Oreochromis niloticus: one gene and its partners. The protein of the gene in region 1 interacts with the protein of each later gene in a pairwise test. Links are inferred from orthologs where the notes say so. Each region holds a gene or a part of one and is shown on either strand. Other genes may lie near its edges.

What was found.
Region 2: the proteins of spg21 (region 1) and dtx2 interact in binary tests that used the Homo sapiens proteins (3 or more experiments, as listed by UniProt). The two-hybrid records come from large-scale screens. The link is inferred for Oreochromis niloticus from reciprocal best matches to the Homo sapiens genes SPG21 and DTX2.
Region 3: the proteins of spg21 (region 1) and atpaf2 interact in binary tests that used the Homo sapiens proteins (3 or more experiments, as listed by UniProt). The two-hybrid records come from large-scale screens. The link is inferred for Oreochromis niloticus from reciprocal best matches to the Homo sapiens genes SPG21 and ATPAF2.
Region 4: the proteins of spg21 (region 1) and efhc2 interact in binary tests that used the Homo sapiens proteins (3 or more experiments, as listed by UniProt). The two-hybrid records come from large-scale screens. The link is inferred for Oreochromis niloticus from reciprocal best matches to the Homo sapiens genes SPG21 and EFHC2.

What each region holds. Positions count from the first base shown.
Region 1 is NC_031965.2:4,634,444-4,642,403, reverse strand, and holds the start of spg21 (maspardin), read left to right. Parts: upstream 1-4,956; 5' UTR 4,957-5,158; intron 5,159-5,298; coding exon 5,299-5,361; intron 5,362-7,960. UniProt on the Homo sapiens protein: May play a role as a negative regulatory factor in CD4-dependent T-cell activation.
Region 2 is NC_031975.2:27,654,533-27,661,975, forward strand, and holds the start of dtx2 (putative E3 ubiquitin-protein ligase DTX2), read left to right. Parts: upstream 1-4,428; 5' UTR 4,429-4,755; coding exon 4,756-5,065; intron 5,066-5,530; coding exon 5,531-6,116; intron 6,117-7,443. UniProt on the Homo sapiens protein: Regulator of Notch signaling, a signaling pathway involved in cell-cell communications that regulates a broad spectrum of cell-fate determinations.
Region 3 is NC_031973.2:20,994,648-21,001,531, reverse strand, and holds the start of atpaf2 (ATP synthase mitochondrial F1 complex assembly factor 2), read left to right. Parts: upstream 1-3,877; 5' UTR 3,878-4,026; coding exon 4,027-4,100; exon of another isoform or gene 4,101-4,160; coding exon of another isoform or gene 4,161-4,216; coding exon 4,217-4,278; intron 4,279-4,370; coding exon 4,371-4,415; intron 4,416-4,544; coding exon 4,545-4,693; intron 4,694-4,963; coding exon 4,964-5,061; intron 5,062-5,815; coding exon 5,816-5,896; intron 5,897-6,884. Other genes in the region: glucose-induced degradation protein 4 homolog, read right to left, coding at 125-255, 344-445, 540-647, 2,907-2,966, 3,356-3,547. UniProt on the Homo sapiens protein: Plays a role in the assembly of the F1 component of the mitochondrial ATP synthase (ATPase).
Region 4 is NC_031987.2:31,111,072-31,118,066, reverse strand, and holds the start of efhc2 (EF-hand domain-containing family member C2), read left to right. Parts: upstream 1-3,983; 5' UTR 3,984-4,115; coding exon 4,116-4,157; intron 4,158-4,414; coding exon 4,415-4,603; intron 4,604-4,847; coding exon 4,848-4,998; intron 4,999-6,064; coding exon 6,065-6,288; intron 6,289-6,429; coding exon 6,430-6,681; intron 6,682-6,995. Other genes in the region: fundc1 (FUN14 domain-containing protein 1), read left to right, coding at 356-506, 1,751-1,826, 1,913-2,041, 2,146-2,223. UniProt on the Homo sapiens protein: Microtubule inner protein (MIP) part of the dynein-decorated doublet microtubules (DMTs) in cilia axoneme, which is required for motile cilia beating.

The DNA of each region.
Region 1 (7,960 bases):
CCCAAAAGGCGCCACAAGAGGGCACTCCAACACAAGAGATGACCTATGTACACTGATGCACTTAGTAACAGTCAGCCTCCTTGAATTGGCAGAAATACTGTGATTTAGTAGTAATACTATAACATAACAGATATACTGTGATGTTGCAGACATAGTATGTTTTTGCACTACTCATTTGTAGTGAAAAAAATTAGCAATATAAATTACAGGTCTGTGATAGTGTATAAATTTGTAGTGAAAAAAAAAAAGTTGAACAAGGTGGGATTGAACCCACGACGTTTGAGCTGCAGAGCCGTATCATTACTGATTGCGCCACCTGGAAAGGGGGCGGGCGGCTGAAAAACAAAGACATCAGCAATCAGAAATAGATCGCGGTGAGAGGCGAAAAGCGCCGTTTTTTGGAGTTACAAAACATCGTGTAACTCAAAAACTAGGAGGGCTAGCGGCATAATTCTTGTACTGGGTGAATCAGCGGACTTTGGTATACTTTGACTGCAAGTTTTATTGCTCTTTGGACCTCCGTCGCGGAGATATGACGAGAGAAGAAACGGCTTCATTTTCGGAGTTTGAAAACTGAGAGGAGGACAGATTTCCACCCCTCAAACAAACGTAATTCATTGCTCAACGGTAAGATAACTGTAAAAACTGCTTCCACTGTGAGTGTCAGCAGTGTCTGAAGATATATTGGCACAAGCCTCATGTCCTAACTTTGCTTTGTTTAAGAGATATGGCGATTTGAAAATGCCTCCCGTTACAGAATTTCAGCTCTGAATTTCAAAACCTCCCCATAGACTTTGAATGGGGAGTATTGAAACCTTGTGTCACTTCGAGGCAAATTGTGAAAAAACGGTAAATCTCACAATAAAGATAGTGACATTGTCTGAAAGTCAGCAAAAATACCTACGTTTTGATGTATAATTTGCGGGGGTTGAATGAAAATTGAGTGAGCAGCAAGAAGTTGTTCGGACATGAAGAGAAGTTTCAGAAAGGACCAGTGCTCACTGTGAGTTAATTGCATAGCAACCATAACAACGCATGTATTTTCTGAAAAATCACAAAGCTGCAACTGAAAACTTAAAGAGGCATTAAATTAAAACGGTAGAAGATCTGAAAAAGCTGAATCAGACAGGAATAGCCCAATAATTTGAGAACATTTTAAAGTTTGAATGGAGTTTCTAGGTGAAAGTATGAGGAAGTAGTTAAGTTTCAAAAACAAGCAAGTTTTAGCAGAGTTGTGGAAGTTTTCCATTCATTTCAATGGGACAAATTAAAGGAAAAAAGTGTAATATTTTAAAAAGTATAATAGTAATAAACACCAAAAGATATAGCTGGAATTAGCAGAAATAGCAGAACAGTTTAGAGTTTGAACGGAGAAAATCGGCTGAAAACTGAGGGAGTAGTTAAGTGCCGAAAAACGCGCAGCAACTTGAAAAAGAATAAAGTTTAAAGAGAAACAGGAACTCAATAGTGTGGATGCCTTTGAGGGCATCCACACAATAAAGAGAAACAGGAACTCAATAGTGTGGAAGCCCTTTGAGGGCATCCACACAATAAATCCGACGAATAGTAATAAGTGTGCCTCTTGGCATAGGCATACTTAATAAATCCGACGAATAGTAATAAGTGTGCCTCTTGGCATAGGCACACTTAAATATACCCATCTAGAGATTAAATGCATAAGTACATGGAGGCAGGACCTCACAGCAGAAGCGTACTGCATAATGTGCATTATTATATGTATGTTATATGTAACGTGGTATATCATAACTGCTTTAAGTCATACAGAATAGATAGCAGAGCCTTAAGCACGATGATTTCTGCTAAATGGGTCAAACTGGGCAGAAATGATACTAACACATAACATCCTTATAAAATATGGATACTCATTTTCAGGTGCATACTGGTGCTGATACTTACATACTTTAAGTTTCTGAATATAAAAACTTTTTACTGCCTGTCATAGTTTTTAACTTGAAAGCCCTGAGTACTTTCTCCCACACTGAAAACGCTTGAATGATAAAATTATTTTAGATATCACCTAATAAGACTGATTCAGGACAGATAATTAGTTATTTTAAACCTTTCAGTCCTTCACACAAAGGGAACAATCTGTCTATTCTCTCCATCTCTCAGCTGGTGCTGGCTCTTCCTCACACACTGCTGAGTTTGTCCTGGTGGATCATCAGGGGTGCAAAGCCTCACAGATGATTTGCAGCAATGGGTTCCTCAGTCCTGACTCTGGACACTTGCAGGTTTCAGATATGTAAATCAAATGTGTGATAAGCTGCAGGATTCAAACACACTTTTATTTAACAATCAGAGAGAAAGAAAAAAAGAGAGAAGGTGAAAGTGCAGGACAGACAGAAAAGTGACAGGCTCAGGTGGTATACAGTACTACAAAACAGCACAAGAGAAGGAGTATTTTCTCTTTGTGTTATTAGGAGTACTAAATAAGATGAGATGAGTTCCCAGTTGTGGCCACATGTTTGACTCCTATGAAGAAAGCACCTTTCTTTTCGCCTAACGAGCGAACTGTCAGCTCATTAAGACAAATGCTAAAGTCTGTTTGGCTCGACACCACCAAACAGAGGCCGGAAAATAATCAAACTTACATTAAGAGTGCAATAAATCCTGCTTGTGCCGTGATATTCAGGGCTGAAAACCAGGCCTGTCTATATGTCAGCTTGTTCTGTGTAATACGGTTTAGCCTGACTTTAAATATCCATAAAATCTTCACAATCTCTGCAAGATTAAAGTCAACTTTTGAAAGGCTTTAAAATCAAGTAGAACCTAAACCGCGTTAAGTAGGCTACTAACATCACTAATGTCAGATAACTTTGCCGACACGTGGCCAATAGTAATGTTTTAATGTTCTTCTTAAAACATTTGTTTTGCCGCATAAATAAGTGACATAAAACTGAGTACTTACTATTAAAAGCTTACTCTTCTGCCGTGCTATGAATCCTGGGATAGCGTGGACAACGAAGGATACACCCGACCCATCTTCAAATCCGGGGAAAAGGAGGACACATTTGTTTTTGTTGGTTTTTTTGTAATGCATTTATTGAAAAACAAAAACATGGCACAGTACAGTATACTGTATCATTCATAATCAACGTCACAAACAGACAAGTGCAGATGAAATAAAGGAGCACAAAAAAGGGCAAACAGTAAAAATAAGTAAATTGCCAAACAAAATTAGATGAAATGTGCAAAGGGTTAACATTTAGTTTTTCGATATTCTTCATTTGCTCCATTTCTGGAGCAGCATTTATGTCACCTCGCTGTGACATAATCAGCTTTCAAATCGGTCTTCTCCGAAAGATTTCGCCCCTGAATTGGGAGACTACACTACACTTCACATTTGAAAAACATCGTCATAGATTCACTCTTGCTGTTTTGCTTCCACCGCAATAATATCACACTTCCTGCACAGCTCTCTCTCTCTCTCTCTCTCCCTCATTGTGCTCCAAGAACAGTTTACCATCAAAAATCTGTTTTCTGCATTATTTGTTTGCTTATTGGTCTACTGTGGTCTAAGGCGGTTACCTGCTATAAAAAAGCCAGGCCAAGAAAATCTCCTTCATGTTTTTCTGTGTTTTATCCTCATCACAGCAGATGCCTTTGACACAAAGGCATCTACTGTGATGAAGTCTGACAAGTGTCACCTTTGTTTTTATACATAGATATAAGAAATGATCTGAATTATATTAATATTTCTGACTGTCTGAGTCAACATGGAATCGAATCAGGGATTGAATCACATCAGGACCATGTCGTTCGGATTCGAATCAGTTATAGAAATTGAAATTGATAGCCAGCCCTAGTTACGAGTGTTTGTGTGTGTGCGCATCTGCAGAGGTCATCCTCATCACAGCCTGTTTTCACTCATGCAGCCAGGAAAAAGGTGCAGGAGCACACTTTGCCAAAGCACAACAACAGAAAAGGGCTCAAACAAGCTGTTTTATTTCCACTATTATTTTAATGTTTTCCCTTCTATTCATTCAGCACCAATTAGCTAGATTCTTAATCTAGGAGCTAGATCAAGAGCTAGGAAGTTTAATCTTTTGTTATTGTTATAGTGGTGGTTTGCACTGCACGTGTTTATGTGATGGTCTCACACAGAAAAAAATCCCTGCTCTAATACGTGTAATATACTAAAGCTGATCTTTTTGTATCTGCTCATTTTCGTCATCATTCTCCACATGTCTGACTAACATGCTCACAGCAGTGTTGTCTTCTTCTACTTTTCTGAATTTCTCTAGTATTTGTATGTCTCGTGCTCTTTTAATTCTTTCCTACGGTTAGTATCCCCTTGTGGTTCCCTCTTTTACTCAGTCGTCCATATAATTACGGTTTTGATTTTGATTGAACTTCCATCTTGGAGTTTTCAGTCTCCCATTCCTGATCTAGTTATCTTTATTCCAGTCTTAATTAGCTATGAACCAGCAGAGATCTCTGCATACTGCAGAGTTTAAATTTCCAATACAGGTTTAATCCAAAGTAAAGGAAAAGTTAAACAGATATGGGGTTAGGCCGTTGAATATTGAAAGGACCTATTGTGCATTGCCTTATTTCATGTTGAGGGGTTGGGGCGCTCATATCAAACATGGGAATAATCCGTCAGCATAAGTAATGCCTGTGACTCAAAAGCATGAGACTGCTTTGAACACTCACTTCCTTCTTTCTGCTCCTCTCAGGCGTCTTTTGTTTGTAATCAAGTCAGCTTAAAGGAGTAATGGGAAGCTAATGACTTGTTTTTGACAGAAGTTAAACTGGAAGAACCAAGATTTTATTGAACAGTGAATGATTTAATTTCAGTGCAGCCGATAATACAAACCTGGAGCAGTTACACCATATTTGCTTTTATTAGATAAATTAGATTATTAGCTTAAACGGAAACAGCAGGGGGCGCTGCGCTGGAAGCTTTCGATCCATTCTTCATTAAACCAATAGACGAAGAAGAAGCGGTGCGGGGGTGAACGCGGCAGCCAGGATCTTTTAAGGAAGTGTGTGAAAGCGGAGTCACATGAGCAGGCGCCCGCCCAGGAGACGGTACCCCGACATGGACCTGGAGTCTCGGATACGGTGACTGACATCCACGGGTAGCACGGGAACAGCAGCGTCACGGCGTCTCGGGCCGCGGTGAACATCTGTGGTAAGTCGTCTAGTCGGTGGTCTCGTGCAGTTAGCCGCGGAGCTAACAGCGGGTAGCCGCGGCGGGCGGTGTTTGCTCCCCGAACCTCCCCCGGCCGAAGCACGCCGCCATCCTGTGACTGCTACTTTGTGTGTCCACAGATGGACGAGATTAAAGTGTCTCCGGACTACAACTGGTTCAGAAGCACGGTGCCACTGAAAAGAGTGAGTACACAGAGCTGCTCGGCCCACTGCGTCATTAAGGAAGTACACACTTGTTATGTCCTCTCTGTGCCTGCGAGGAAAACCAAACTCGCATGCAGTTAGAAGCCACGTTACTGTTTAGTACAGGTGCATGGCGGAGACTGGCTGGAACCGAAACTATGATCTGAGCTCACCGGGGCCTTCTGCTCCACTGAACCACAAAAATGAAAAAACAAAAGCAATTTTTATTTAACTTTCGTGCTGGATTGAGCAGCATGAAAACAAAAATGTCAGTAGGCAGTCTAATCTGAGTTTGCACATGTAGTTCGACTAATTAGAAAATGATTGTTAAATAATTTTTTTTGGAAACACACTTTGCGAGCATACCCTGGAGGAGTCGGGGAAAGTTTAAAGTACAGGAAGTGGCATTAGAAATAAACTTTGAGGTTTTTTAACGTCTGTCCTAAATTACAGATCCTGATTTTGATGTAAGACAGTTTAGACTTTTTTCTTTAATAGTTTTTGAAATGCTCATGTTCAAATCTGGCCTCAGACTTTAAAGTGTGGAAAAGTGGGTGGATAGGCCTTTAAAAGTAAATGTATGTGGAAAAGTATGTGATATATGAAGGTATAATTTCAGAGTCATCATCATCCATGTCCGAGTTTTCAGAGATGACTGAGCAGGAAACTCTCTAAAAACATTGTTTGAAGTGGAATGACTGAAAGGAGAGTTGTTTATGTTGTTATACGCGTGTTTCTGACATGGCAGTGTATTTCATTTTGAAATGTCACAGTGATTGTGACAGAGCAGTGTACATGAATACATGGAGGGTTACACGTGAACGTACAAGCATTCTTGTGGTCAGATCACCAGACGTGTGACCTTTGGCACTGAGCATGACAACATCTCATATGATCCACAGGATCAGTTTTTGGTGCAGCTGCATTTGAGTTGCACCACAAACTAGTTTTACTACATTAGTACTTTAGTACTACATTAGTATGTACCACGTTTCCCCCCCCTCCATGTGTTAGAGCTGCTCTTCATCACTACATCTTCTCTTTAGTTCCAATGACACTCCTCCAGGGAGAGTCATAGCAGCTTAGTGCTGCTCACACTAACACACTGCTGTTGCTGGTGCTGTCTGAACATGGGCTCACTCTGTCGCTGTGCCAGGAAATAGTTAGGTTCCAAGTGGTTAGTCTGTGAGCTACTGAATGCCTGGCTGTCCTCAGGTCTGGTGTGCATGAGGCTTTCTGCCACTGCAAACTTCCTGCGTTGTTGTCATGTGAGCACTGAAGCCTTCTGTCCTTAACACATGTTGGTCAGTCAGCCATCTGTCACATGGTCACATTTATACTGATGTTGTGTGCAGTAATCACAGGGCCGCTGTTTTCAGGATCACGTGTTCGGACAGCTAAACTAGGGCGGCGTGGACGATAAAAAATCTTTTGTTTCCAAGCTTCATTTAATCTACAGCTGTGCAGTGCCCATATTTGTGCAGTAGAGAACACGTGTGAGAATAAAGTGTTCAATTTCAATTCAATTCAGTTTTATTTATACAGCGCCAAATCACAACAACAGTCGCCTCAAGGCGCTTTATATTGTAAAGTAGACTGTACAATAATACATACAGAGAACATCCTAACAATCATATGACCCCCCCCCATATGCAAGCACGGTGGTGACAGTGGGAAGGAAAAACTCCCTCTTAGCAGGAAGAAACCTCGGGTAGAACCGGGGGGGGGGGTGGCCATCTGCTGCATGTAGTTGGGGTGAGAAAAGAAAGACAGGATAAAAGATATTAGATAAAGATTTAGCTACTAGCCAAATCCAGTGGAGTGGTTTGGTTTAAACTAGAATAAAACCAACAATGGTCTTAAAAAATTATATATTTTAAAATAAAATAATTAAACATACTAACCAAAAATGGGTTTTAATCTAGTTTAAACCAAAGCACTCCACTGGATTTAGCTACACTTTGGACAGTGTTTCCGGAATGCAGTAGCTAGCGAGCTGATTGGAGACAAAAACAGCCATTTAGGATTTTTGCATCAGTTTTTTTTGTTTTGTTTTGTGTTTTTTTTTTTTTTTTTTTTTGTTTTTTTGGCACATTTATAACGGTGAACAGAAAAACTTGAGCGTGCAGGGAGCACAGATGTTGAGAGTGGGAGTGACATACACTGGGAGCAGGTCTGCAGATACCTGTCAGCACACAGAGAAGAGATCTGAGGAAGAGCAAATGCCAACAACTGAGCGAGAGGGGTTGTTATTATATGTGTGTGTACATGGATAATAGCAAACACTGAAATACATTTCTTGCAAGCAGCAATGAATTTTCTTCACTCAAAATAATTTTCTCCTCAAAATGCAACATTTGTATTTGCAAAAATTATGTACGCGCACTCAGAATAGAGGCACAAAAATAACGCCATATACTGATGCATCCATCAGTGTGAATGCTGGATAGAAAGCACATGCATAGAAAAATGCTTGGGTAGAGTAGAAGCAGTCTGTTTACAGTTTACCGCAGCATGGTTATATATGTAACATGAGCCAGGCCTGCAGCACTTTTACCACTCATCATTCTGTATTTAGTGAACACTGTAATCAAACTCC
Region 2 (7,443 bases), on another chromosome or scaffold:
TTGTGAACAAAGTGTGAGTTAATCAGATTTTCAACCCATTGCATTCATTTATTCATTTATTGTATCATATTTAATTTTTTTCACACAGTGTCCCAGTTTTCTCAGAACTGGGTTTGTTTGTATATCAAATGAGGCAGCATACATACTGCCACAACAAATACCATGTAAAAAGTGTGCATAGTTGTATCTGTTCACAGGATTTTTAAACAGTATTTAAAGATGTAGAAATGGCTAATGCAACATTTCCCATACCCAACAGATCAGTTTAAGCTTGCAAGTTTGTGATCAAATCCTTCATGGATCACAGCCCTCTGCTATTTAATTCTCCCTTACAACTGACTATTTGATCACTTATCTTCTTGTAAAGGTCTGCAAGACATCTGGACCAAAATCCATTTGTAAGCTGCTTATTAGCATTTACAACTGCAGACTTGATGAATTATGAAATCCATGATTTATTAACACTGATAAGTGTAGGTGACTATTTCATAGTGGCTGAGTAAAAATCAAGACTCCAAGATCCTTTCTTAATATCAAATGTACAAGCACAAACCTGATAAATATGAAACATCAGCCATTATTTAATAACCTTTATGTATATGTTTAATGTAATAAATGCTCACACCATGATAATGCTAAAGCTGTAAATCCTATAAGCAAGTTTGCATACAGAATGGCACCAATGCAGCTGTTAATGGCATTTCCAAATTGCATGTTGTCAAAGTAGACTACAGAGCGATGGGTCTAAATGTTGTGCTTTTAATAATTGCATTATTTTGCATGAATATTTCCAGCATTTTTGTATCCTCATTATCTTGTAAGTACTGGAGATGCTTACACTGCATTACATAATCAAAATGTCACGATCTAAAGCAAGAATCTAGTTTTTGTTTAGCACATTTTTTAAAATTTTGTCTGCTATACCTTATGCAACTACTGTTTGCTACAGAAAATGTCTAATCCCCGCTGAATGGCAGTGGTAGCTGGAGGTTGCTAGTGCTCGCTGGGTGAAAGTGGTTGCAAAGAAGGTGCTGCATCAAAAATCTTCGGTTGCTAGCTGATTGTATGGTTGCCTCAAATACTATATAATTGGTAGCAAAGTGGTAGTACAACTTGAAAAAGTGTGAAAATCTGTGCCTCGAGGTGCAGCCAACGTGTCTCAAAAGGTGCAACTTCCTTAGCAACGGGTGGTTACCAGATGGTTGCAGACAGGTATCGAGGCCTATCTGATTGGGGCCTTATTCACTCAATCTTACACTGATTGACACACATCCTACATGACATGGTTAACAGTAATTCCAATTCAGTTCAGTTTTATTTATATAGTGCCAAATCACAACAATAGTCGCCTCAAGGTGCTTAATATTGTACAGTGGAGACCCTAAAATATTACAGAGAAACCCCAACAATCAGATGACTCCCTGTGAGGAAGCACTTTGGCAACGGCGGGAAGGAAAAGCTCCCTTTTAACAGGAAGAAACCTCCTGCAGAACCAGGCTCAGGGAGGGGCGGGGCCATCTGCTGTGACTGTTTGGGGCTGAGGGGAGGAAGACAGGAAAAAAGACATGCTGTGGATGAGAGCCTGAGATTAATAATAACTCATAATTAAATGCAGAGTGGTGTATTAACACCATGTGTGGTTTGTGGTCATGTATATTCAAGACCTCAATAACAATTTCTGAGCATCACGAGATATATCATAGTTTCAATAGCAAAACTAATTTAATGTTTGTGAATGTTTTATGTGTTTTCTGATAATTCACTGGAGAAAACTCAAAAAACTAATAATAATAATTTGAAAAGTAGTGTTTGAAAGGTGGTCTTTTTACCTGCATTTTGATAGCAGGTTCATCTTCTAGTCGTGACAAAATCATTTTTAATTGTATTTTTTTAATGATTAAAAATGTTTTTTTAAGTGCAAGACTCTGACCCTGTATCACAGGAAACAGCAGACATGCATCCACATACATATCTGCCAAGCGGGCAGCTTTGTTCATCCTTTCGCCTCTACTTAAAATGTTGTTTGTAATTTGTGTTGTGATGACCGTGATGAAGGCCCCAAGTCAAAACACGTCTGTCAAAGAATTAAATTGTTCTGTATTCTAAAAGTATTGCTGGAGCTTTAAGCTCCTTTGCTCCATTATTCCATTTTCTTAACTTCTCATCCAGCTGAGGGTCACAGGCATGCTGGAGCCCATCCCTGCTGTCACAGGCACAAACTAGTCCGTCACTGTGCCTAAGTTTGCTTTTTAAAAATTTATTTTGCTTATTTACAGAATCACGGTAATGGACTGTGGCTCTCGTTCAACTCTATTTTCTCAGTTTTAAGAAGCGTGTGACCTTCAGCTACAACCAGGATTGTTTAAGTGGGCTGAGAAAGAGAGAAAACCGCCCCTAGAAACCTAATCATAGTGATGCCTGTGGATTATTGCAGGGACACTGCTTCTGTTCCTGTTAAATTTTTAAATGTCATTTCTTATTGCTGCAGGCACCACAAACAAAGTTCCAGTTACCTTCATGAGGAAGAAGGCAAAAAATCTCAAATGCATATTTCACAACTTCAGCTAATAAAACCAAAACTGTGTGGACAGATAGAAACTGTTTTTTATAAATCTATGTCATACGGGCATAAGGACTGCAAATCTTCCTTGAGATCATTTCAGTGTTTCTGTTTTCTTGTTGCACGAAAGACAAAGACAAAAAATAATAAGAACATCAGATGCAATAAATTTATTTTACACTGATAAATCTGAAAACATTTAAACTGCAGGACTTTAAGAGCAGACCTCGGGAAAAGATGACTCAAAGCAATGTTCTCACTGCTAAATCATTTGACTCCGTCTTCAAACCAAATAATGGCTGCTTGCATCATTTTTTACTGTCATTTTTTTGTGCGTGCGTGTGGAGACAATGTGTTCTAGTTACATTCGAAAAACCACAGATGAATGGTTTTATTTTTTATATTGAAACATCAGATCCTCGTCTTTATTAGTTATTATTATTACATTTGTCACTTTGAAACTACTTGGCATGGACTTGGCTATTGATTATGTGTCACTTTATGGGCTAAGGGGAAAGCTCAAATCCCATTTGGCCACTACTTTAATCAATGTTCACACTGGTGTCAGAACTGTCTAGTTCTATTATCACGTAGCCGAATTTAATGAACACCATCCTTACAAACTAGATCCAGTAATAATCTAGTTTGTGTGGCAGATGGATCACAAAGCCATTTATCGCCATCTTTAGTCTTATACCTGTGCTAGCACTGGAATTTTGGGCAGCATTCAGTTTAGTGGTGTCTGGTAAATAATTAGTAATTACTCAAGCAACCAGCCTGAGGTTTTAGAAGGCCGTTTGGTAGGTTTTCATATGCAGTTATTTGTGTCATACCCATTTATCTCCAGTTGAGGGCAGAAATACTACTGAGGGGGTTCTAATCTCCTTTGAATACAGAAGCAGGGAAAGAAGAGGGGGATAGTGTGAAAGAAGAAGAATGCAACCTTCATGCGCACCTTGTAAGTGAAAATTTTAGAGGTGAGGAGGTGTGCACAAAAAGCTTTTGTTTTAGTCATCTGCTGTAGTATTGGTCAAAGATGACATGAGAAATGGTGCTCCACCTTAAGAACTACCAACCCCCACCCCCGCAATGCCTTAAATAAATCATCACCTTGCACCACCACTTGTGCCAAGGAATGAAGACTGTCTGCGTGTTATCGGCTGAGATGATAAAGAAAAAAAATCCCAGATCTTTGCGGGCTCCAGATGTCACCTGGAAACATTTTAATCACAATTTTATTTCACAAAAAGACATTAGATGTATTTGATGAGATTTCACTTACACACATACGGGCCCCTTGTTACAAAGAGTGAATATTATTATAATACGGTTATTATAGTTAAACCAAATTAAAAACTGAAATTAGGTGTGAGAGGGGGAAAAAGGTTGAGTTTAAATAAAAGCCTAGACTTTAGAAAAGAAATAATTAAGTGAAGCAATAATTACCTACTTACTAAATTCTTAGTATAAAATAAAAGTTTTGTGATGGGGCATTGGTGCCTGTGTTTATTGATACTGGAATGTCTGCTTGTCTCTGTGTCAAGTATTTTTATCGCTGTATTGTATTTTTGCCCTAAATCTTGCCGCTGACGCATACCACCCATTACATTATAAATAAAAAGTGAATCTAATACTTAACCTAAAGAATTAATGAAAAATACACTAAAACTGAGCATTCTCAAACAATAAAAACAAAACTGAAATGACACGTTTAGCTCCGGAAACCGAATTAAAAACAAAAAATCACAACAAAAAAAGGATATTAAATACGCTCATAGTCTGTGTCACTGTGGTCTAAAATAAATATAGCTTTCAGAAAGGGGAACCAGCGGTTTATGTACGTTTTCTGTTTCAGATTGAGACGAGAGTGGTGATATTACCGACGGTCCCTGAAGGCAGCGGCAGAAGAAGGACGGATTCCTGGCAACGCCGCAACAAAGCTAACGTTAACCATGTACTGCTAAGCCGTGTGAATGCATCAGCTTCGCAAACATGTACTTAGGTGTTTATCTGGGCCGTCTACCAATTGATATCTACCTCATAACTTCCTCAAAGGCGCGTTAACACATTCATAATGGAATTTTTTAACGAGCCAAGCTAGCCCAGCTAGCACACTTTGTCTTCGTCGCAGCCACAATCGGTTGACTAGCTAACCAGAACGAGTTGTTGTTAGCTTAGGGCTAGTTTTGGCGAATATGGCAATTGTGTCTGGGTCCTGTGCCAGGGTAAACGGGTCTAGAAACGGGCCTCCTGTGTCAGCTACACCCTCTGGATCCGTCGGGCAGTCTCAGCCCATGATAGCGGTGTGGGAATGGCAGGATGACCAGGGCTACTGGCGGCCTTACAGCGGCCAGGTGAGCGCCTACATCGAGCGGTGTCTGTCACCGCGGGGCCACAGAGGAGGAGCACCCGGCTCTACGAGCATCTGTCTCGGACAATCAGACCCCAGCCTGTCGCCTTACCTCATTGACATACCAAGCTTGAAGCAGTTTCGACAGGACACAGGTAAACATATCTAACACGTCATGGCATGACCTTTACGTTTATTCCTCGTTAACGGTTTTGCCTCAAACCTCACAGGCCCGGTTGGCTGTAACGTTAGCCGGCTAGCATTAGCTTGCAGGGGCGCTGTTGTTTTGATTGATGTAAGCTGAGAAGTATGCATAAAGTTACAGTTCTTTAGCGAGATTTTTACTGTGAACCTAGCTACAAATCATTGAAATACGTCACAACATTGTGAGATTAACATGTAAAGATGCTTGGAGTGTCTTAAACTGTCATAATTTTGTGTGTGTGTATGTGTGTTTTAAATTGAGTTATAGTCATATATGTAATGTGTCATTAGTTCTGGCATACAAGTGAATGAACAGGGGGCTTTTCGTTTATGTCTTAAAAACAAAACACACACACAACTTTGCAGTTTTCATTCAGTTTATTCACTAAAAATCAATGTGCCTCTTTTATTTTTAGGTAAGACCCGGTCAGTACGCCGGTCTCTGTTTGCCCAGTCCTCCGGCCTTGGTAGTGGTGTTTACTGGGAATGGGCCAATGATGAAGGAGGATGGACCCCATATGAGACTCGAACCTCTATCCTTTTGGAGCACAGCTATCAGGCTCGCCAAGGCACAGCAGACCTGGGCCCGCATGGATACAATTATATAGTGGATCTCACATCTCTGGCGCAGGTTAACAAATCGACGGGTTTCAGACGCCAGGTGCGACGCCAGTGCAACCTCCCCTACCCGCTGGCTTCTTCCGGACCCCCAGCTATCCCCTCGGGCCCCGCCTGCTCCTGCCAGCAGTGTTTAAGCCACAGCAGCACCGGACCCATGCCAAGCCGTTCGCGACATTCCTTCTCATCAGGGAGTCTGAACCGGCCTAGTCTTCAAGGCACAGGAAGGGCTGTGGCGGCTCATCCCACTTCTGTCTACTCCCCGTACCCCAGGAGACCTCTCTCAGTTGGTGGCATGTCCTGGGGCAGCCCCTGGGCTCCACCGACATCTGGCAGCCAACTTTCTGCATCTCTGACCAACTCTACCAGTGCCAATGGGTTAAGGTTGGTATCTGACACCTATCCTATCCTCAATTGTGTGGTTTGGTTAGATGTGCAGGGTTCATGTTACAAGGTCCTCTATCTGCTTTCCTCCTCTTCCTCTTTGTCTTTCCTGCCTCTGTCAGTGTTGACCTTTCTTGTAAAACAGGAAAGGCGGAAAAAAAAAAAACAGATCTGTAGCTCCAGTACTTCATTGGTATGTTTGCTTTGGCTCACTTCCTGTGACTCTTGTCTGTGTCATCACTGACCTCCCTTCTTTTTGTTCCAGATAGCAGAGAAAGCTTACTTACAGGACAAATTGCTTAATTCAGTGGTATAATAAATATCTAGTTCACTTGCAGCTTCTCTGGGCTTTAATTTTTTTGCACGCTGAGTTTTAGCCACTAGAAATTAAAACTAGTGTATTAAAAACATGGTTGCTCAGTAGACAAAAGAATTGCCTACATTTTTGCGGTGAATGTTTACATTCACTAAAGCCCACACTTTCACATTTCTCTTTGAGGTGTATGCTTTACAAAGAGAAATGGTTGCCATGTGTTTAATTTAATTCAATTTTTTTAACTCCTGGGTGTGGATGCTAAAGGAGGTGCACCCATGCATGGAAAAAATAATCATTATTGTGTAATAGTACATCATAATACTCCCTTTCAAGTACTTTAATTGCCAAGACTTGTATGACTGAAAAAAATGTTGCAAACTTCCTGTCCATTGAGTCACTCCACCCTTTTGGGTCACGGCTGCCTGTGGTGTTCTCCCTCTTCCCTGCTCCTTGATCCCAGAGCAAGGAGTCTGTGGAGTCCATCCGACCACGGAACCACAGAACAAGGGATTCTCTTAACTTGGCTCACTTTCTGCTACAGTTTGGCAGTCGGCTTCAGCTCTCTTTTGTTCACTGTGTGGCTCTCCTGGGTCACTGTGCCGCCTGGGGCTCGCTTCGCCCCATCTGCGCCAGCAAATTTCCTGGCGGGTGCCCTTGTAACATGAACTGCATGGTCAAAAACATCCGTTAGTCTGGATCCACCATCATCCTCACCTCTATTTTAATTCCTTTGTTATGTTTTTCATTTGAATTGTATTTAAAAGTTTAAGGTCAGTTACTGTATTATGTTTAACTTAATGAACAATTGTATTACTATCTTTATCTTTACAGTTGCGGACATGCTGTCATAGCCCATAATCATTCAAGCAATATGTCTTTCAGACTTCTGTGCACAGAGCCCTTTGGCTACAGAAATAGACCAGTACCACCTCAGCACTGAGTCAGTGTTGCCTTTTTGCAGCCCTTTAACTGGATTTAGTTTAGCGCTCCATCATACTCGAGGACTGACAG
Region 3 (6,884 bases), on another chromosome or scaffold:
GAATGAGTTTTCCCAACCAGATTTTCAGCCAGTCTAAAGCAACTTTTCAGAGGCGAGCCAACTGGTTAAAGCTCCTAACACAAGTCAACCTTGAATCACAATAACTTTTAGTGTGCTGCGTTACCATTCGGAGCTCCTGTGGTAGTAGTAGCCCTCAATTGTTGCTGTGGATTTCTGGAAGCAGATGTAGTAGAATCCTGCAAAGGAAGCGCCGCTGATGTCCTTTATTGTGTGGTCAGGGACCAAAAACTGTTCCTAAGGCAGGCAGGTGAGAAAGACCAACAGAAATATAAAAGCCAACCTACTGCAGAATTTAGTTAAGTTCACTCTTCGGTAATCATACCTTCCACCTCATGAAAATATAGTCAGAGTTCTTCAGATCCTCGTAGTCAAAATCATCAGAGTTGAATGTCTTTGCATACTGGTAGAAGGCCTGGAACTTGCCCTGGACACAAAAACGTTTACAGGATAGGACAGAATAAATCAGTCTGATGGAGACTAATTTTTGTAATTTACAAATAAAAGTGGTTTCACCTTACCCAGTGCTTACGATCCACATCCTCATCCGCATCCCATTTCCGAGTGAGAAATGGCCGTTTCCTACTGATGATCTCTCCAGCAAAGAAAGTGGTCAGAGTTGGATATTCCTAAAACAACAACGAGAAGCAATTGAAGACACATCTGGTCACTTCTACTGTTTGCAATTAAAAAGAAAGTAATATTAAATGAAACAAACACATCTGTCTATTTAATGTTCAATTATATAAAAGACAGTTCTATTCTAAAACACAGCAGAAAGTGATCATTTAGAGACTGACATATAAGAGGTATGTGTAATAAGCCAACACAATGTCACAGCTAGTTCACCACTGCATTCATACAGTGGGAATGTTCTGGATGCTCTGTACAGCAGGAACACAAAGACGTGAGCTGTTACCCAGTAATTACTTCTGTAATAACCGAGGACTCTAATTATAGCATGTATTGCGTTAGCTGTAATTTACTCTGTGAAATAGAGTTTAACACACGTCCTAACAACATAGTGTTATGGTTATTTTGCCAGTGTGCTGATAACATCTTATTTACACTATCTTTGAATGTTGCTATTAAGGCATGATTAGTAGTATAACATCCACCAATCAGAAGAAAGTTGAATTTAAGTGAACGTGGTCTTCAAGGAAGAAGCAGAGGATGAAATGAAAGCCCAATAAAGATTATTCAGAATCATCCAAAGCTACTCTAGCAGAGGCAAAGGATATAAATTAGAGCTGGAAGTAAGCTTTGTATATCTAAATTTAAAAAAAGAAAACATACACAGACATCAGTCACATTATCACAGCTTCCTTAACACTGGTTCCAGGTCTCTAAGACCTTTACAGATACGGTTCTGGATGCCAATGAGTCTTGGTAAATGGTAAATGGACTGGTTCTTATATAGCACTTTTCTACTTTATTTGAGCATTCAAAGCGCTTTATACAACATGATGGATTCATACAAGCACTTCTTTCTATGCCTGCATACTATCTAACATTCACACACATTCCCACTCTGGATGCATCTGAGAGCAATGCGGGGTTAAGTATCTTGGCCAAGGATACTTTGGCATGTAGATCGAACCACTGATTATTAAATGAACTGCTCTACCTCCTGAGCTACAGCTGTCCTGTGTTGTGCTTGGTTTAAAAAGAACCCTAAATTGAAGCAAATTTCTCTTTGTGTGTGCGCCTAGCAAATTTAGTGCAAAAAGAAATCTCCTAGAATCACAAATTTTCATTAGGGTAACTTGAATAAGTGCAAATGTCTGTAATCAGAAAGCAATTGCAAAGATTTGTCCTACAAGGCATGAAAGGAAAACACCTTTGCTAAGCTACAGCTTGACACTAAACATTTAGATTAAGACCAGAGGCCTCAATTATCAAGGGTACTAAAAATAAGTTTTCAGGAAATCATTTAACTTGTAACTAAAGTCTTGTTTTGACATTTCGTTATCTTCTGGTTATGTGTGGCCATGTGAGTTCAACCCGTGATAAACTTTGCCTTTCTTGACACCTGGTGCCAAGCAGCCTCAACACAAACTCAAATGGTGTGTTTGTGAGCTCAAAATGTAGCCTACTGAATAACACATGTTGGGTGTCTTATATCTTCTCTACCATTGCCATGATTCTGTCTGTGGCCGATCCAGACTACCCGCTCATTTCTGTAGGTATTAAAGCGTTATTACGTTAAGCCGTTAACAAGTTAACCACAGGATTTTAAGGACCTGTGTGGCAATCTCAAAACTACTTTTAACTATTAATCCAACAACATTTTTTATTGATGAGACACCATACATATTAGAACAATGTGTTCTCGACAGCCCAATCAAAAAGGAGTTGCACGGCCACAATAACTGATGTGCTCTGCCTCAGGGGGAGAGTGCAGTTACTGATTCAACTATTTCAAAGAGCACTCAAAGAAAAGGTTCAATAGTTGAAATTAAACTAGAAATTGATATTTTACAGTGACCAGCAAATGAATTAGTAGATGTTTAATGGAAAAAGTGGACAGTATGTGCAAGAAAACCTTTAAAAAATCTTGCATTTGAAGGAATTTGCCTAAAGAGATTTTTGAACAACACTGCATAAAGCCTTCAAGAAGCTAGCCTCTCTACTCTGGGCAAATAAACCTTTTGCTAAACAACTGTACTTACTTTTTCCATAGTGAATTTTTTTTTACATCAATTGGTACTTTGGTTGAAAAGCCCAATAGTCTTCGTGTTGTCTTATGTTAATGCCTTTTTCTCTTGGCACTGTTAGACATGTTTGCTACTACAAAAATAGTCACAACAATTTCCATGACAGCTGTGGCCAGACATGGTATAAATTATTTATGCTCATGCTTTAATGAAGGGAATCACCTCTCTCACCTCTGTTAGTCCTTTTATCTTCAGGTAGCCACATAAGTAGGAATCCTCCATGGTCACATGCTTTAAAAAGAAAGCAAGACATACAATAAACTACATCACATTGACATCAGTTCAGATCATGTTATGGTTTTACAAAGGCAATGCTAAATATTTAATTTCTAACAGCAACCTCAAATACAAATAATTTTCTACTGAGGTAAATGTTTGTGTAGGCCTTCACACCAATTCTGAATGTCCTTATTTGTATTTTTAGTAATAAATTACTTCAGATGCATTAAAACATTGACAACAAATTTAAAATGTTTGTTTGTATTCAGTCGTGGGCACTGCTACGGGACAGGACAGGGCTGATTTTACCAGCTGTCAATCATCATGCCGCCCGTTTGACAGATGACCAAATGCCTCTGACATCTCGACTGAATAACGAAATAGTCGCTTCACTGCCCCACCTGCAAAACAACCTCCACGTCATAAGAGTTTCCTTTGCTTTTCTGGTGGCCCCTGAATTTGGAACCGCTGTACAGGAGCGAAGTGACAACACCGGGCTGCTGCGTGTTTATCGGGGGCGGCGGGATAAGTGAGGCCGAGGATGTGAAGGCCGCGGTGGTGGAGTCGCTGAGGTATCCAGCGGGGACAGGCATGGCTCCGGCTTCGCTGACCGGGCACCGACCGCGGGCAATTGCCGTCGAGGAGAGGTACTCTGTCGGCGTCTACAAAGAGGTGGCGGAGAGCCGAAGAGGTCCAACAACATTAAAATTCCACTTAATTCCGCTACAGTTCAGTTTACCAGCAACCAAGCTCCCAAAGAAGTGGACTTCGACGCGGTGTTGTAGCCAGAAGTATCCTCCGCTCTCATTGGTCAACTGAGTCTGGCTTTCGAACATCTTCGAAGCTCATTGGTTCGCCGTGCGGAAGGTTTCGTGGAAATATTTGGATGTAGTTTTTCAACTGTTGTGTAAGGGTGTGTGGCGCACGTATAGAAGCGCTCTTTAAACTACATTTCCCGAAGAAACTAGAAGCCTCTACGCTGCTGTCAAGCGCCGAAGGTCACACGCGTGTTTTTGAACACAAAGATGCTTAAGAACTGAGCAGCTGATAAATGCAGTAAAAATAAGACTTTATGCTAATAGGAAAATATGCGTGCATTGCTAACTCTTGTTTAATGAGGACGTTTCAGACACAGACATCTCGAAGGTGTGTTTTCTTCTCAGTCAGCCTTACTTAAAAGCATCACATCTTCACATACTTTCCGCTATGCTTAGGTGTATAGTTAGACTTCAGAGTCAGGTTGGGAATGCTTTTTCTCTCAGTAAGGTGTGTCTGAGAAATCAGCACTACGAATGTGTTGCGAGATACTCCGCAGCCACAGCAGGTAAGAGCAATAACCACCGTGAACGAAAGCTCCGGTCATCTGCAAAACATTTGTGTCATTTCACCCTGATGTGGCGTTTTTCTGTTCACCAGAGAGGAAGAGATTTTATCAAGATGTCAGCATATCTCAAAGTGAAGGTATGTGTAGTATGGTCATTAGTAATCCAGTCAAGTATAGTATTGTAGTAGCAGGTTTTCCTGCCCCATCTTTATGCTTGTGTCATTCCTTAATTTAGTGGATATCTTTTGAAAAATATCTCTATATAGGTGGTTTATATGAGATAAACCTCGACCAAAGGAAGCTGAAAACTCCAGGAGGGAAGCTGTTCACGGTGCCAAATGAAGCCTTGGCCATCGCTGTTGCAACTGAGTGGGATGCTCAAAGGGACACGCTCAAGTTCTACACTATGCACTTGGTAAAGCATTTGACATGGAGTTATAGCAAAGTGTCACATGTTTTGGGGTTTTTTGTGTTTGTTTTTACGGTGGCGCCTATGTTACATAAAATAATCTTGAGAGAAAAGGAAAATTTGAGAGGATTTTTATGATTTGATAGATCATATTTATAAAAGGAATGTTACCCAGATCTTCCAACAGCTTGCAGGACGTGTACCTTTGAACTAACTTTGCCATGATATTTATACAAAACTTACAGTAATATTAATTTTGGGAAACTCTTCCCTCAGACTACCCTGTGCAACACGGCTCTCGACAATCCCACCCAACGCAGCAAAGAACAAATGATCACCGCTGCTCTCAAGTTTCTGGAGACTGACACCATCTGGTATGGCACTCGTTTATTTCTATTTATTTTAGGTTTGTTTAATTTTCTGAAACTTCAAACATAAACTCATCTGCAAATAAATGTATATACATCTACATAGTCTATATATCCTATAAACACCCATGTGCATTCACAGTTCCACGTGCGCATCTGATAATTATTTAAATTTGAATTTATACAAAATAAGACATGAAATAAAACAAACTATTTTATGTTATTAATATCCAGTAACACTTATACTCGCCTTTTTCACCTTGGGAAAAAATGTCCTTTTGCATAGTGCTATGACACTTTAAGAACAGTTCGAATTGCACTACAGTTAATTGTTCTTTCTTTATAGCTTTAAATATGTATGCTTTCCTGATCATAATGATGATGTTATTCAGCTATTTTCCTTAAGCCAACATCAGAGTTACAGGATAAATATGGAAAATTCTACTTTTAGACTTAAAAACAAATTTATTTTTGTTACAGTAGCAGAGTAAATGGATATCTGACTCCCCTTCCTGCTGATAAAACCTACTTGTGTTACACTGTTATATATCACATTTTAAAACATTTTCCTCATAGAAGCCACTCATTTATTCATTTTATTAATAAATCAGTGTTTTAACACCTATAAAAGAGACATCGACACACTGTAGACAAACTTAGCTGGTTATTTTCTGAGTTGATGTTTTTTATGTTGCTTAGTTGGCACCAATTGATTGGAGTTATTGTGACTTTAATATTGTAGGATTTATGTTTTGTGTAGTTACAGAGTAGATGAGCCCCATGGTTTAGTCGAGCTGCAGAAGAATGAATGGGACCCTGTGCTGCAGTGGATTGAAAAAAGGTAAGAACAGCTTTAGCTCTTGTTGTACATGCTGCAGTTCTTTTCAGGGTATCCTTTCTTTTCCTGATAACAATAATTAAGTGTAAAAGGCCTGATCTGTGGTGTTCACATTGCTGTACTTAATTCAGAATAGTTAAAGAAAATCTTGTGTATGTTCTCCTTATTTGAATAGTGATTTGTGCAGAAATACAGGCATATGAAAATTTAATGTAATATTATTAACAGAAAGTTACACAGGTGATCTTGTGCAATAACGGATAACATAAGCCTTATAATAATGTATCTGATTCAGATCAGTTCAATTGTATTTATATAGCCCAATTCGTAACAGCAGTTACCACAAGACACTTTATGTTGTAAGATAAAGACCTTGCAATATTAGAAAGAAACCCCAATAATCACGCCCTTTGACCAAGCTCCTGGCGACAGTGGGAAGGATAAACTCAGTTTAACAGGAAGGAAACCTCTAGCAGAACCAGGCTCAGGGTGGAGCAGCCATCTGCCGGGGTTGGGGGAGGGAGACGGGGTAAAAGACACTATGTAGAAGAGCCAGAGATTATATAACTAATGATTAATGTAGAGTGATGTATAAACGCACAGTAAGTGAAGAATATGTCTGTGAAGGTTCTCAGTCATCCAGGTCATCGTAGTCTATAAGGAGCTTGGAAAGAAAACAGCGTCTGGACTTGTTTAAGTTGCTTGAAAACCCTAGAACTGAAGAAGCTTCTCGGATGAGAGTCTTCAAGCAACTTAAACAAGTCCAAACGCTTTTTTCTTTCCAAGCTCCTTAGACAGTAAGTGACGAAGCACTCAGTGCATCATGGCATATTGCAGTTTAACTAAGGGAGGGTTCAGTGTCATCTGATCTATAAGCTTTAAAAGGAAAGTTTTAAGACTAATCTTAAATGAAGAGATGTCAATATATGCTCTCTCCTTCTAGTCCATGTCAATACTCTGGCTGTGATATTCTGCATCAACTGAATGACTT
Region 4 (6,995 bases), on another chromosome or scaffold:
TTTCCTCTGTGGCGCTGACTCTCTCTTGGGCCGCACCATTTACAGCTAGCATTAACTTTTCACCTGTTAGCTTTAGTTGTGTAGTCATGCTAAGTTATTGTTAGGCCCAGGAATTTTAGTAAGTTGTAATGGAGCCCGTAATGAAACTATTGGTATCTGCCTTTGTCATGATAGATCTTGTTAAGTAAAAAAGCAGGAAACTACTACAGTTTATAGTTGAGTAATGGATAATAGCGTCTAGAATCGTGTGTTGATTTTGTAGCATTAATGTAACTGTGCTTGTAAGGCTTGTCGCTGCTGCATTCATTGTTATTTCATGCTAGCTGTCTTTTATTTTTCCTTGTATGTACACAAGTGGAAGATGAGATTTACGACAAGGTCGTGGATCTGACAGAATACGCTAAACGTCAGCGATGGTGGAACCGCCTTTTCGGAAAGAATTCCGGCCCCATAGCTGAAAAATACTCTGTGGCTACACAGATTGCAATAGGTGGAGTGAGTGGATGGTAAATATTCTCATTAAAATGCATTATGCTGCCTTTAGCGTTCCTAGTTAAGCACTTCATGTAGTTGTAGTTCTAGTAAATATGAATGGCTGAGAAACACCCTAACGCAAAATTAGAAAATCTCAAGGTTAATTTAGATGGTTATAAATTGCTCTGTGTCTCATCTTGTTTACAGTATATTTTCTGTTGGCTGATTGGACACGGATGTCTTTATTTCTTAAAGTACTATGCAAAAATCTCTAGCCACCCCACATTTCCTTTGCTAGGAAAATATGAAATGTGTGCAGACATTATTTGAAACATGCAAACATATATGTCATACAGTATATAAAGCAAAACAGAGTTTATACAATACTAATGACCTTGAAAGTGATCAAGGTCATGAGTATTCTTCAACAGCCTGAAGTCTCCTCAGAAAGCTTTCGTCTAATTCCTTTAAGCACTCTTCAAAGATAGTTCTTCAAAGTTCTCCTTTGAATGCCTTTTGTTCCATTCTTTGTCATGATGATCTCACACTGCTTCAGTAATGTTGAGGTCCAGGCTTTGCACAATTGGTGGCTGACTGCGTTCCACCGTGTTTTTTGTTTGTTTTTTGGAGGGGGGGGGGATTCTATCCAGGTATACCTTTAGCAGCGTGTATGGCAGCAGTTTCATTATTTAGTTTCAGTTTCCAAATCAGACACTTTGGAGATGACATTGCATGGTGGATCAAAGAACTTTTACTGTGTTCATGAATTTATTACTTTTGACAAGCGATTTACAATCCAGTTCTTGTGTCATTTGGCATACCTCAGAACTTGGAAAGGAAAGTCCAAAGAAAAAACATTAAAAGAGCATCAGAAGGGCTGGAGAGCTACTGCTCAAGGCCACTTTAAAAAATGACCAGGAGGCCTGGCTCCTTGGAAGCAAAATATATTGAAATGAGGAGTAGCTCAAAACGTTTTGCACAGTATTGTATTACATATAGTGCATGCTCATCTCGCTGTTCACATGTTACTGTAGCAGAGAGACAAAATTGTATTTTGCCATCACTTAAGAAAACAAATTTCACACTCCCAACTTTATAACTCTGCAGTTAAGGTATCTTGCAAACAGTGTCTTAGTTATACTTTATCAGTGGGACCTTTCACATCATGCAAACCTTATGACAGTGAATGGCCACCTCACAATGGTCATTGTTAGGCTAACTTGTGTCATTATTATTGTTAGATCAGCTACTATGCTCTCTTTTCAATTTGCCTTAGGTGTGCAGGTTACCTCTTCCAGAAGGTTGGAAAAGTTGCTGCTACTGCAGTGGGGGGCGGTCTTCTGCTTTTACAGGTATTATTGCATCGCCCTGCATAAATATGTGCAGGTTAAGCTTTTCAACACGTTGACATTGTTTTCATGAATCTGTCTTTCTTCAGGTAGCTAACAACAGTGGTTATATCCAAGTGGACTGGAAGCGAGTAGAGAAGGATGTCAACAAAGCTAAGAAGCAGTTAAAGAAGGGAACAGATCAGGCAGTCCCTGAGCTCAACACATTTGTTGAGAAGGTAATTTTTTTGTGAGTTGTCTGGTTGATTGTGAGATCATTTTCACCCTCCCGTTACAATGAAAAAGCGACTGTGTCATATGAAATATGATTTGTATCTTTCAGTCCAGAGAGTTTGTGAAGAAAAACATTGTCGTCACAAGTGGCTTCATCGGAGGATTCCTTCTCGGCCTGGCATCTTAGGACCTACCGAATGAGAAGAGTGTATTATTGGGGGGTTTTTTGTGTTATGTTTCTGATGTTATAAAAAGCTATAGAGGATAATTATAAGTCTTTGCTTATAATTAGCAATATTATAATTAAGTTCTCAAGAGTTTTAACAGCAAGTGACCAACAGATACCAGTTTAGCTTGGAGCTCTGTGTTTTTACTTAAGCTGCATTGCAAACCCTTCTGTTTATAACATCGTACTTGCAAGTATTTTTGATATAGACGTGGGACTTATTTATTAGCCCAGAATGGCCGTCTTGAAACACTCCAGTTTTAACGCCAAATAATAATACATATCATGGAAATTAAATTAAAAAAGGAAACCCAACAGAATGTTTCTGTTATTATGTATTTATTAAAAAAACGGACAATGTTCCAGAAGGAAAGATTTCCCACTGTGGTTGTGCACAGTTGGGGCAAATAGATTTCAGTTCACCTACACATGGCAGGGGATGCATGTCTTTAGGGTATTCTATCAGTGCCACTGTTAATTTTTATATTTTGGTTCAACACGTTATAATCAATCATCTTCAAAGTAAACACTGGGTTACACCAGTCTTTGCAGTCTCTGTTTTTTTATGATCTATTATGTTTACCATCACTTTGGGTACTGAAGGCTGTGGTCTGACTATTATGTAAGTAAATAAAAATAAAGAAATATGTTGAATTGTGTCTAATTCAATTTACAGTGCAGTTTATTTAACTGTAAAGATGATGAAACCTAGTCTCTGATGCCTTTGAAGTCTGTTAGTATACATTCATCCATGCTTTGGTTCAATAATAATAATAATAATAATAATAAACTTTATTTATAAAGCACATTTAAAAACCAAGGGTATGCCAAGGTGCTTAACAAGTAACATAGAGAGTAGAAGGAAGATAATAGAAATAGGACCAAAGCAAGTACTAGGTATGCAAGCAGGTAGCTGTCACTGATACATAGGAAAGCAACAGGTACAGAGCAAACAAGAAATTAGAGCATAAAAGTGCATAATATAAAATCATAAAAATATTAACTAGAGCGAAAGGCAAGATTGAATAAGTGGGTTTTTAGTCGTGATTTGAACAGTGCAATGGAATCAGATGCGCGGAGGACAAGAGGAAGGGTATTCCACAGTACCGGGGCAGCCAGAGCAAACACGCGGTCACCCCGGGACTTCAGCCGAGATCTGGGTTGTGTCAGAAGTAGTTTACTTTCACTTGGATTTTGTAAAATGTTTCACATATAATTAGAAACAAAAATGAGCTGTTACTCTGGCCATTTATTTTTGTATGCCCTACAAGCATAATAGTTTACAGTTTATAAAGAAACAGGGTGTGTTATAATGTATTCTTAAGTCCAACTTTAATTTTTGCAGGATGTGTGTGGCATACATTAAATTATAATTTTTTTAGGTAGACTCAGAGGGCTTATAGATAGTGTAAAAGTTCCAGCAAGAATTATTTCCAAATCAGAATGTACAGTAAACTATAAACAGCAAGGTATTATTTACAGGGATAATTACTCAATTACCTTAGTAGAGGTGGTAAAAAATATACCAACTCTGATACTATTTGTAAACTTTAATATATAAATAGTACACAAGTACACAGTTTACTCTCTGTTGTACTTTTTAACTTGGAGGAAAAACAATGTATAATTTTTTTTTTAAATTTATTGGCTATGTTAGCATCAAAATATACGATGAACAGCAATAATTTGAATATTGTTATGAAAATAAAAATATTTTATTGGTTCTTTTTGTTGCTAAGAGACGTGTCCCCAATAGACGTTTCCATGGTAACAGACCAATAACAGACCGTTGGAACTTCAGGGCTGCTGAGTTTTATGGAGAAAGTAATCCAACAATTATAAGTATTACCACTATGGCTTTACCGTTTCTGCCAGGGAACTCTCCCAATGAAAGAGTAAGTTTAAGACACTTCGTATTTTTCTCGCAAATTACTGAGTTTCGTTAGCAGGCGACTTCCTTAGCTAGAAACTAACCCCAGGTCGCCTGTTAGCTAGAGAGCACTTAAGCTCAGATAAAAGTGGTTGTACGAGTGGGTGAGTGAGGTATGCTGTTTAGAAAGAGCTTTGAGTGCTCAGGCATATAAGAACCAGTCTATTTAACATGTTTTTAATAGAAAGTGCTCAGATATACTTTCTCCTTTCTGTACCACAGCTGGGGAAGGAGAAATTCCACAAATCCCAACATTTTGACTATTCCAGTGGAGTCCCTATGCTGGTTGGGTCTGAGAAGCCAGGCATTGGAGGAGAACATTTAGTTGGTCAGGAGATTAAATCAAAGTACTCCGTCTATCCTATAGGAAGTGGTACCGGTTTACCACCATGGGTAACCTTTGACAAACAGGTGAATAATAGAAACTGATTTTAATTGTCCACTCAGACAAACACAGACACGTATTATGGTATAGCTTTGTGTTATTTTTTTTACGTCTGTTATTAAGGTTTAAAGCTTCCAATAGCTTGTGTTACTCATTCAAGTAAAAAAAAAAAATAAAACCTGTTATTTTTTAAAGCCTGTCATCATTTCACTAACTAAACATTTGTCATTTGAGTAATTTTAGCCACAAAATATCACTTTGTCCTTCTAGGTTCTGTGTTTTGATGCATACTTCCAGGAGACTGTACCTGAGGCTCAGTCTGAGACGTACAGAATCAGAAAGTGTAAGATCTACTTCTTCCTGGAAGACGATACCATACAGGTTGTGGAGCCGGAGTACAAGAACAGTGGCATTCCCCAAGGTGTCTGTGATATAACAGGAAATATCTTGAGAATATTGCTTAAATTCAATTACAGCCTCAATAAATAAATAAATAAACAATTAGACACTATGCAAAATGTAAATGGAAACAGAATGCAATGAGTTGCAAATCTGATAAACTCACATTTTACTCATAATAAAAAGTTGAAACATTTTTAAGAAAAAAATAAGGTCACTTTGAATTTGATGGGCGGAAGATGAAGAAGAAGAGAAGACAGAAGAAAAGCTGTCCCATTCTTCTCTTATAGAATTATACCTATGAAAGTTGTTATAGAGGCAGTATGTGTTTTAGCAGTGTTTTGCAAGTATACAAGACCTTCACTGAAGACATCGTCTGGATGGGCGCATATGTTGCTCTAAAACTTGTATATGCATTTCAGCACTGATTGCACCTTTCCAGATGTGCACACTGCCAGTTCCATATTCACTAATGCACCCCCATACCAGCAAAGACGCAGGTTTCTGAAGTGAGGCTGATAACAACCTCTATGGTTCCTCTCATCTTTAGTCCCAAGGACACTGTGAAGAAATAAAAAATCAAATATTGCATTTTAATTTGTCTGACTACAGATGCAGTCTATTTTGCCTCTGTAAATTTTAAATGAGTGTTGGCTCAGAGAAGATGGTGGCGTTGTTCACATACAGTTTCTTCTCTGCATGATTGAGCTTTAACCGTTTCTGCCAACCATTTGTGGACAGTGAACAGCGATTTCTGGAAGTGTTCCTGAGCTGATGCAGTGATTTCCATGACAAAACCATGCCTGTATTAGATGCCTTCGGGGTGGCGATGATCATGGGCATTCAGCATTGATTTTCAGCTTTGTCTCTTGCAAAAAGACATTTCTTCAGACTGATATGGTTTTATGAGTTTGTCAATGATTGCATTCTGTTTTAATTTACATTCTACACAGCGTCCCAACTCTTTTGGGATTAGGTTTGGACTTTTGTTCATCTTCTGCTTTTTCCCAAGTGGCCCAAAAATGCAATATGATGAGAGTTTCCAGACCCGTTTGTTACCAATTCTGTGTTGGTGATCCCTGTCATAGGAACACTCATTCGTCGCCACCGTATCCCACTGCCTCCTCCAAATGAAGGCCAGTTCTACAACCTGTTCCATTTCAACATCAACCAACAGATGAAGCTGTACTCTCGCACGTTCACTGTGACTGACTGTGACGCTTTCACAAGGAACTTTCTGACAAAACGTGGGGTGCACGTAAATAACCCTACCACTGTACCTGAGGACCCCTACAGCAGCCTCCGGGAACAGGTGAGCATCCGAAATACATTTTTTGTTGTTTGTATTTTATTTCAACTCATATAACTCTGTCGAACTATATTTTAATCCTCCTTTATTTATTTATTTTTAAAGAAAGTTATAGTGAATAATTTATTTGTTTCACGCTCTCAGCTCAAAAAGAGTATGCAGCCGCTTCGGCCATATGAGAGACATGATACGCTGAAGCAGTTCTTGGACCATGACCGCAAAGTCCTGCGCTTCTACTGCTTCTGGGATGACTCACAGAGCATTTATGTTGACTTGCGGGAGCTCATACTGCACTACTTCCTGGTTGATGACACCATAGAGATCCGGGAGGTGATCCCCCCAAATTCTGGCAGAGACAAAGTGAACAAATTTCTTCGTCGCTGCAGACTACCTAAGGTAGGTAAGGCAGCGTGATAAGAGCGCGATAACAGCTGTCGAGAAATGAGAGAATAAGGAAGAAACGCACAGACAGGTTTATACAAAAGGGTAAATAAGGGCTTTTTTGAGCTTGAAGTTTTGCTATTTCTTTGTTTTAGTTAACATTTAAAGATGGTTACTCCTAACCTAAAGGCTTGCAGTGTCCCTCTTTCTGGTTGTGTTGCTTCTTTTCGTCTTCCTGCTTTCATGGAGACCTCATTCACTCTGACAGGACTGCTTTAGCACCCAGTTTCCCTCAAGCATGTAGGCTTTCTCCTCCAGTTACTGACTGA